2 linked regions of the Caenorhabditis elegans genome follow. The protein of the gene in region 2 purifies or fractionates together with the protein of the main gene of each other region. This does not show direct contact. Each region holds a gene or a part of one and is shown on either strand. Other genes may lie near its edges.

What was found. The genes of interacting proteins can lie anywhere in the genome.
Region 1: the proteins of H05L14.1 (region 2) and F53B2.8 fractionate together in Caenorhabditis elegans (co-fractionation; one large-scale study listed by BioGRID). This does not show direct contact.

Annotation. Positions count from the first base shown.
Region 1 is NC_003282.8:12,525,699-12,528,990, reverse strand, and holds F53B2.8 (Coiled-coil domain-containing protein 86), read left to right. Parts: upstream 1-1,594; 5' UTR 1,595-1,771; coding exon 1,772-1,793; intron 1,794-1,840; coding exon 1,841-1,921; intron 1,922-2,140; coding exon 2,141-2,592; 3' UTR 2,593-2,760; downstream 2,761-3,292. Other genes in the region: F53B2.5 (Importin subunit alpha), read left to right, coding at 12-245, 288-428.
Region 2 is NC_003279.8:7,971,936-7,978,931, forward strand, and holds H05L14.1 (Protein kinase domain-containing protein), read right to left. Parts: upstream 5,144-6,996; 5' UTR 5,065-5,143; coding exon 5,043-5,064; intron 4,739-5,042; coding exon 4,578-4,738; intron 4,235-4,577; coding exon 3,977-4,234; intron 3,498-3,976; coding exon 3,351-3,497; intron 3,302-3,350; coding exon 3,197-3,301; intron 3,067-3,196; coding exon 2,700-3,066; intron 2,644-2,699; coding exon 2,556-2,643; intron 2,511-2,555; coding exon 2,349-2,510; intron 2,176-2,348; coding exon 1,734-2,175; intron 1,376-1,733; coding exon 1,223-1,375; intron 1,175-1,222; coding exon 964-1,174; intron 873-963; coding exon 604-872; 3' UTR 538-603; downstream 1-537. Other genes in the region: rbg-2 (Rab3 GTPase-activating protein regulatory subunit), read left to right, coding at 1-356.

The sequences.
Region 1 (3,292 bases), on a different chromosome or scaffold from region 2:
GGTTATTTCAGGAATGTCTGTGGATTATTGGAAATCTATTGGCAACTGCAGATGAGCATCAAACGTATCTTCTCGTCTCCTTAGGAATAGTACAGCATTTTCCAGCTCTTCTCGATTTTGATGATGTTCGTTTGAATGAAAAGGCGGCGACAACTGCAACTGAACTGCTCCGTGAGCATCCATGGCAGTACACATTGTTCCAACGTTTGGATATTTTGGGATGTATTGAGAGAGCTGGAGCAAACGTTAGTTGAATATCCTTAGACTTAACAATCCGTGTGTTTCAGTTTTCGATTCAAAAAGCCGAACTGAAATCTTTGATGAATGACTTGGCGCCACCTGAACGGAAAGATGAAGATATTGCCAAAGGATGTTCTGTGATTTGCTACAGCAAGCTCTCAGACGACTTTCACAGCATGAGCATTTGAATTTACTCGTTTGAAAATAAAAATACGAATTTTGATTGTGTAGGTTTAAAATATCAACCCATCAATCAGCAGAAAATGTTGTCTAATTACGTTTCTGTGATATTTAAAATTACTTGAACATTTCCAATACACCTGTTTTTATTTGTTCACTCGAATTCCAATCAGATTACTGACAGATTACTGGCTCTTCAACTGCGATTTTTCTACCGGTTTGTGTACTCTTTTTGGACAATTAGATGTTATGTGCACTTCCTGAACAGGTGCATAAACAATTGATGAGATGATGATGAATAGATGGATTAGGAATGGGGGAAAGAGGATTTTAAATGTTTTTGGAACATAGGGGGTAATTACCGGTAATTGATTTTTTCCAAATTTCTTCACTCCTAAAATATTTCAAGTTTTCAGGCAACAAAATGTGAGAAAAAGGATTTTTTTAAAGTTAAATATGATCAGTAAAGTGTCGGCTTCCATGATTTTTACAAATACACAATTATTATAACATCTCTTTTAGGTTTTTAGGTAGATTTGCATTAACTTTGCCAAAACTATTCGACTCTTCCAACTACAAAAATGTTTTCCAGTTTGAATTCAAATACCCGTCGTCCTTTTCTATTTGCCAATTTCCGGCGGCAATGTGATGGGATAGTGATATGACAATCTGTTACTCATTCCTTTTGGCGGTTTTTGTAAGGAACAAAAGCACTTTTTCTAGATTTGAATTTGAGTTGGGGAGATGTTGAACGACGACGATGAGCTGTTAGATGTTTTAAATCTTGAATTGTATAGTAATTCATAAGATTAAAAATCAGAAAACTTAAAAACTTAAATTTGAATATAAATATACCATAACTTTATGTCATCGATAAAAATTGGTCACACAGTAAAAACCGAGGGTTGCTGTACCTGGCAGTAGTCTGAAAAAATCAAATGTTAATGAAAATTTCGAATATTAAAAAATTTAAAACATTGCCTAAGTTAAAATTTTCGAAATGCTGAAATGCTTTGGGTGTAATATTTGTTAAGCATATTTCTAGTGAATTTTGTAGTTAAAAATTTCAACACTTTGATTTCGCAATCCCGTCACCCATCTTTTCCCTCTGGGTCTCACGATTTCCCCATACTTTCCAATAATCTTTCCTGTCAACATTCCCATTTCACATGACATTTTCAATTTTAATACTACCTTACTCATAGTCAACATCACTATTTCAGAATTCCACACTTATAAACATTATTGATGATAAAAACTCTTTGATAAGAAATTGATACAAAAACCCTCCTCAGTGCCTGCAATTTCAGTGGTTACTTGTACTGCTAAAATCAATTGCTTTGAACTGAAAATGCCAATGGGCAAGAAGTTGTGTAAGTTTTTAAAGTCGAGAAAAATTTGAAAATGCTCAAATTTACAGTGGGAAAGCTTAAGAGAAATAAGGTGGAGGAGCCACAGGTGGAGCCGGAGGAGGATTTGGGAGATGCTATGAGTACGCAAGGTTAGTAAGGAATTACATTTGACTTTTAGTGTTGAGCGTCGATTGTAGTGTTCGGAAAATTTTAGTTCACTGAACGGTATAGCAAATACGCAAATTTGACGCGAAAACTTTATAAACAACAGATTTGACGAGCAAATTATCGTAATAAATCTATGTGATAAGTCTAGTTTACGTTTGGCAGATTATATTACATACTCGAATGAGATTCGCAAATTTCAGAAAAAGATGACGTGAAAGTTGGGAAGAAAAGAGCCCCGAAGAATAACATGGGTGGAAAGAAACGACTGAGATCCAAGCTGGGAAATGTTGGGAAACACCAGAAAAGGGTACGCTCCAAGGAAAACACTCCGGAAAGAAAGCTGGAAAAATTGGAGAAACTCGAACTTCAACTGACCTTAAAACGAAGTCGAGAGGAGCAGAAACGAGCCAAAAAAGATAAGAAACTGGAGAGAAAAGCACTGAAGATTCAAAAAAAGTTGGAAGCTTTGAGAAGCATCAAGGAAAAACCACATCAAGGCTCTGAAGCACAAGGGCCAAAAGTCCCCAGAGCCAGAAAGATCCGGGTACCAGCCCCAAGACCACCCCGTCTTCCATATTTGGCTCTAGTCGCCAATCTTCATAAGGCTCCGAAAGCATTGCGTGATATGAGAGCTGCTGCTTCACGCCGTTAGTGTGGGCTTTGGATCATTTGGAAGAAAAAAAAATTGTTAAGTGGAAAATTAATAAGAAGAATATGAATCTGGATGTCAAATTTAATTTGTGGACGTTTTGAATTTTTCACTTTGAAGTTTTTATTTGTTAATAAAAAATGTTTGATTCAAAATTTACAAATTTCAAATCAGCATACCAAAATCTTCGAAATGTAATCATGATTCATGAGAGGTCTCGCCATGAAAACTAATGGTTATGGTAGATTTTTTCAATCTTATTCGAAATTTCAATTTGAAACTTGATCTTCAAAGTGAGACCACATTTCCCACTAACGTTTTTTATCTGCTCACTATCAGATCAAATTTAAGATTCAGAAAACTTGCTAGCTACAGTAACCGACACGTTTTGTAGTGAGACCCGATCTGCTTCGTAAAAATTCACATCTGCCTTGTAAGGAGACCTACACCTGATTCCTGCCTACAAAACGTGCCTATAGACTTGCAAAATTATTTCCGATCCTTTAATTGTTTGCAAAAATTCAGATGCCTAGGCAGTAGGCAAGCTTGTAGGCAGGCAAGAATACAGTAGGAGGAAACGTGCTTGCCTACTGGAATTTGGGAAATTTCTTCATAATCCGGTAAATTAAATTTTAAGGAGAATTCAGACTGTTCCCACAGCAATTTAAATCCACTTCCCTTTCCAAATTTCTGTGTCTCACTC
Region 2 (6,996 bases):
AAGGATCCTTGGAACTTGCATCTTGTGTTCGGGACGATCGATCAGCAGTTGCACTGGCACGTGTTCTTGCTGCTAGACTTATTCAACTTGCAAATGAAGCGAACAAACGATACAGTACTGCTCATTCTCAATACCTATGTGCACTTGCTGGGGAAGAAGCTGCTCGTGTAGAGCTTTATGAAAACTCTCCAGATGATCCTTTAGTCGACAGTAATCCAAAAACCTGGAAAGATGCAGTTACATCACTTGGAAGAGCTGGAAACTCGGTACCACAATCGGCGCAGGCCGCCATTCCATTTGTTCGAATGAATGATATTGCCAAACTATATTTCGGAGCTCAGTGGGTGAATAATTGATTTATTGCATTATTTTTCTTATGGGTTTCATGTTTTCGCCGTCTTCTTTTGTTGTGTGCCGTGCTTAAAAATTGTGATAGCATCTTGATTTTAAATTGTAAAATAAATGTAAATTCGTTATAATTTTCAAAAAAATAAATTCTTAGTATCTGAATAAATCTAGAAAAGAACAACTATAAAATCCACTAAAACCCTTTATTTACAATCAAGAAAAAGAAGAAAAATCGAGTAGATCAGTTGAGATGTATCAATCTTCATCAGTTCCAGACTGTTTTCCAGATTCTGAAGAGCTATCACCAAAGCGTGCAGTCTTTTTCTCCATTTTCGACTTTGCCTCTTTCTTTAGTTTTCCAACCCATCCACCGTCATCAAGACTATGAATTGGATAACCAGAAGCAGATGACGATGTATATAAAGTCTTGACAAGATTTGCGTATTCGGGAGTTGTTTGGAATTGAAGACTGTTGATGTAAATGATAATTGGTCTCAAACTGATTGGAGCATAGTCGTATTGAGCTGTAAATTATTTGTGTCTTGGGAATTTTAAAGACAATTAATGACTATGAGTAGTCAAAAATCACTTTCCCCCGTTTATTCAGTAACTAACCTTTACCATCGAAAAATAATTGCTTAGCCTCTCGAATTTTGACTCGATCTCTCTGCTTTTTCCACGAGACGCCATTTTTCGGATCAAAAATATCAAACACCATATAAATCCAGCATTCCAAGTCATCTTTGCGTCCTTGATCTACTTCTAGCATACAGGCTCGTGATGCATATCGAAGTGTTCCCAAGAACTTAACTTTTTTACGTGGAGCCTGAAAATTGATTCATTCACTAAAATTCAAGTTGCACCATGTTTTTACCCTGTGCTGTTTGGTTTTCGGATCCAAATAACTTCTTCCAATTCCGAAATCAAGCATGAAGACGGTTGACTCTTTAGCTCCAACACCAACGGCAAAGTTGGCTGGCTTTATGTCACGATGAAGATATCCAAGATTGTGAAGATCACGGATGGACTGAAACGATCAGGATTAGTGTACAAAAAGAAATGGGTTGGCACGTCTTCAGGCATACGTGCCTATCTCATACCTGCCTCCACACCTATCTTATGCGTGTTTCATGCCGCGCGCTGATTGGACTATGCGATTACCTCATGCCTACATCATACCTACCTACCTACAGGTTTACTTCATGCTAGCATACCTGTCTGTCTCATTCATACGTACCGCGTGCATCATGTCTGTAGTTGTGCCTACCTTATTACTACCCCTTAGATGTCTGCCACATGTTTGCTACTTGCCAACCTGCCTTCCTAATGCCTACCCCATTTCATCCTACATGCCACGCCTGCCTTCAGCCCAAATTGCTACTAACCTCTAAAGTCTGAATAGCAATGATGTATGGAGTAGAAGTATTCGAAAGATTGACTCCAAACTTTCTTCGGCAATCATCTAAAGAAGGACCAACAAGACTCATAACAATGTATTTGCACTTCAATTCTTCACTTTTTCCACGATCAATGAAATCCACAAAATGCCTGTTAACATCTCCTTTTGATTTTTTCCGTGCATCCGAAATTGTGATCATCACTTGCATTTCAACTTTCAACCGGAGCATCGCCTTCTTTCCACCTTCACTTTCAGTTTTCAGTGCATAATGAGTTTTTTTGGGTCCTTTTGCCTTATCGTCAAACACCTTGTAAACATCTCCAAATCCACCACTTCCAAGTAGCCTTACAACTTTCCACGCATATTGGCCATTGGTGATGACGTCATCGGGATTCATTATTTTACGAACAGGTCGTGCTGTTTTGAATCTGAAATTGTTAATTCATGTTTTGAATAGAACTATCCCTTCGGAACATTTGAACGCCTGTACTCTTTAGGAAAAAAGTTTAAATTAAATTTTAGCAATAGTTCGAAATCATTGTAAAATCCTGCAGGTTTTTTGTGCTTTGTGAACTCGGTACAAAAATCTCGCCCAACTAACTCAAAATCATCATCTCCCGAACACTTGTTTCCAGTTGATTTTTCAGCTGCTGTTTTGATTGCAATCTCCTGATTGACTGGCGTAATTTTCCCAACCCAATCACATGTTGTCATATCATGACCCTTTGATTTTCCCACATTTTGAACAATCTCCTTGAATGCTCTAAAACTTATAAAATATATATGGCTAGTTTTATACAAAGCATACGCATAATCTGGAAGACTATCATAAGAATAACCGTGAACGAGGTCGACGAGTTTCTTGAATTCTTCAGGGACTTTGTCATAAGTATGTGCTGAAAGTTAAAGATAAAACTACAGACTCCAGAATCCTAAAAAAATTAAAACCAACGCAAAACATGATATTTGAAGTTTTCCTTCTCCTTGATCATCATATTACATCTTGGCGACTTTCTCCAACTCAGCCCATTTTCCGGATCAATAAGATCATAAATCATATAGATCCAGGCTTCCACGTCATCTTTTCTTCCCTGATCCTTCTTTTTCAATCCAGCAATACTTGCATAACGTGCTGTTCCACCGTACTTCAAACCTGTACGAGCCGGGCGAACCTTTTTTGTGGATGGATCAATATGAGTACGAACAAGACGATAATCGGTCATGTAAATCTTCGTTTCTTCTTCATTCAATCCGACAGAAAATGAAGCAGGCTTTATGTTACGATTCAAAAATCCAGCTTGATGAAGATATTGAATAGCCTGAATGTAACAATTATTTGCTATATTTCGTTTCAAAAGATGACAAAATCTCAGTCATCTGTCTTAGCTTTATCAAAAGACTCTGATAAGCTGAGGGAGTTCAAATGGAAAAAAAAAACATCAAAATTACATCTAGAGTCTGGAGGGCGACATTGAATGCACAGGGAACAGTGAGAGCTTTCACAATCCTCAAAATTTCCAGAATTTGCAGTGAAAAAGGAGAAATTATCCAGTACTGAAAGTTAATTTGAAATCTAAATTTGATTAAATTTGTTCAAACTTACATTCAAATGTTGCGTTTGACAGAATTCAATATTTCGAAGAACTGGCACCTTTTCTTGTCCAGCAAACAACTTTTCCACTTCTGCTACAACGTCACTACCAAACTTCAATTTTCCACGATTAGATGGCTCCAGGCGGACAATAAACTTCTGAAGATGTTTGATGAATAACTCGTTTAATAACATATAAATATTGGTGAGGTTATCCATATAATTTCGAAAAATTGCTGCTTCTTCACAACTAAGTTCTTACGACATTCACGCATGGCTAAAAAAAATATCAAGTAGATGTTCTGAACTTATTGCACTACAATCAAGCTTCTTCGATTTTTTACGTTAGGGTCACGTGTGCTCGAAAAAGAGCGGCGTATAAAAAACAGAGCATCCTGAATGCACTATCAGAAAAACTGTTCTGTATTTAAATACGCGTATTTGAAAAGAATAACCGAAAAATCAAAAAATCAGAAAATTGGAATGCAGCCCTGGAGGGAACCTCCTTGTTAGCCTTAGATTATGACGTCTAAATCATATTGACGAATCAACTGTTGTAACGTCAAGCTACCAGCAATCACAATTTTCAGATTTCCAATTAGGATTCCACAACGGCTATCCGTGTTTAGCCAGCTCACCTCGTTCTTCTCATTGACTGCATTAAACTCTCCAAGGTGAACAGGATTTCTCAGATGCTCTTGAAGCTTAATTTCTCTTCCTCCTACAATCTTCAAAAACTTTTTTGGCTCTTTTTCTTTCTTTGTCGAGGACTCATCATCTTTTGATGCGCTATCAGGTTTTTTTGAATCGGCTTCATCATTCTTTGAACCTTTTTTCTTTTCCTCTTTTTTGTGGTTTTTGGATTTTGTGGATTTTACTTGCGACATTGTACTCATCTGAAAATGTTGTGTTAAACTAGATGGCGAACAATTTAATGAATAATAGCCCCAATCATAATCAGGAGTCCTCGCAGCAATGGTCGCTTTTTCTCGATCGCGATGTGTCCATGTTTCTCACTGATACATTATGCACACATCGCAAATCAAACATGATTTTAAAAAATGACGCCACATAGGTGAGTATTTTTAGAAATATTTTTCATTCGATACAGCTGTTCGACCTCGGACGTGAACTTTAAAACATTGAAAAAGCATTTTTGAATACTATTTTGAAACTGCGAAAGTCTCGAAAATACTGGTATCATCAGAAAAGTTGTTTTAGCCCTACTTGTACACTTACAGTCGTCCCCTTCTTTGTTGGATCTGACACTGGTACGGGTATTGGTGTAACGGCTGACGGAGCACCCATTTGAGAAGGTGCACCCATTCGTGAAGCTTCTCGAGATAGTTCCTTTGTCAAATTCTTTTTTCTATTACTTCTTGGAGGTGCCTTTTTTGGTTCTGAAAAATAACATTCATGATATAGGGCATAACATGGAAGAGCATGAATAAACAACTCTCTACCTACATGCCCATCTTCATGCCACTGTCTGTACCCTCATGTCCATCTGCCTGTATGCTTACCTATTACCTATCTCATGCTTGGCCCATGCCTGCATTACATTATTCCATCATTCTCATGCCTACCTCATGATTGACAATGCACAAGATTTTCTCAGACTTGCTTCAGTTCATGCCTGCCGTTTACCTGATGCATGAGTACACTTGCAAGCTAACCTGCCACGTAACAAAATGATAAACTCACTTTTGATTGCCGGTGTACTCATTATTGTTACTTGTCAACTAGACAAAGAGAACGAAATCAAAATGGTGTTTCTAGAATTTACAACACTGTAAAATAGGAATGATTCAAATATCTTATCGATCTTTGAATCTTCTGGTTTTTTTAGTTAAAACGTGGTAAAACATTACAGGGCTAATAAAAATTATTTTGTTTAAAATTTAAATTATTAAAGTTATCATATTTTTTAAAGAGTTTAAGAAAATAAGTTAATTAAAATTGATAAATAAAACTGTTGCTCCTAGAAGATAAATACTGGGGAAATATGGTACTTTTTCTTCATAAAATAGTACGAATCATATGTATACATACTTTTCCCTACATCTCATAATCCCGTAATTACTCATTCTTCTTTTCATTTGTTTCTCTGTATATTTGAGCTCAAACCACAAAAAAAACAGCGGAGCTATTTCAAAGTATATCAGTTTCTACTTCTATTCATTCGAAAAGTAAATCAAGAAACCCCAATATGTTATATAAAACAAGGAAATAACGAAAAAAGTTGGTTCAGTGGTGCCAAGTTACTGCAAAAACGAAGGTCGAGTTGTATCATACTTACAACTTTTAAATTCTAAACAAAATCTCCAGTATTCACCATATAATTTCTAACTCATCGGCATTTCCCTAAAAGAAACTTGGAACACGGGGGAATATTGTTATCACTTGTTCTCCTTTTATTCTTTTTGTCCACACCATCATCTCTATTTGTTTAACGAATCTCTTTTTTTGGGATGCCTCTTTCAAATCTTTCTTTTTCACACATTCAATGCGTTTGGCTTCAAAAACTGAGGCCTGCAAACGAACATTTATTTTTTCTACCATTCGGATATTTTTCCTGTTCACCAAATGACCTTGAAATTTGCTTGAATAATAACAGACTTTAAACTTGGTTCCGAAAGTGTTAGTTTGGGATTATAAATTACAAAATCTGTTCTCAAAGTCAACACTTGATTTTTATTACTTTATGAGTCACTAAAATCTGTTTTGAAATTCTCCTTCAATTGACTTCATGTTTATCCCCCTCGACTTGTCCGTTTTTCCGTTTCTTTTCCACATAAAAATCATGATTTTTCCATTTCTTTTTCACTCAATCTGAATGATTCTCTTTCAAACACAATCATTCCATAAGTTCTATGTTCTGTTACCCTTTTTGTGCATAGTATCATCTCTAACAGTCTAGTATCTTAAGGTTAATTGAAATATTGTAATTTGACAAATGTCAATCATTAATAACTTTCATATAGTTTTGCAGTTAAACATTCTGTAAAATATTAAAAATGTTCCAGTTTATCTTGATTATCCAGACATGTATTATACGTTTTTCATTTTTCAACTAATTTGCTCAAAAATAGAATCTCATGAGGTAAGGAATTTCATTGATTATAATGTTGAATCATTAACATCATTCCCGTCGCTTTCGTCACTAATGTCTACTGGGAAAGAGTGAATGAGCTTGGTTAGTTGGTTAGTGTTTCAAAAGAGCAATTTTTCAGTTTTTTCAAAACGCGATAGATAAATCAAAAGTGTGTTAAAAATTTAAGAAAAATCGAACCACGACCTTTTCGAGTTTTTGTGCTTCCAAAAATAGAAACTCTGCCACCCTTGGTAGGAACAAAGAAGGCGTAAGCCACCTCGGAGATAGGCTTTTATTTGTAAACTTGAAATTTCTTGATATATTTTTTTTTTTTGAAACCTTCAGTTACAACTCCGCTGGCTCCAAGATTAGCACATCATTCCAAATCTACTAGAATGACCCTACAAACGTGTTTTCACCGTTTGCTGCTCACTGAGCATCATAAAACAGCTGTCAGCAGTGCTTGCGCGTGAACTTTATTTATTGAGCCGAATTGATCCAGTTTATGGGCATTATAAATTATGAGGGATTTTCTTGGTTACGATATACTTCTTGAAATCGTAA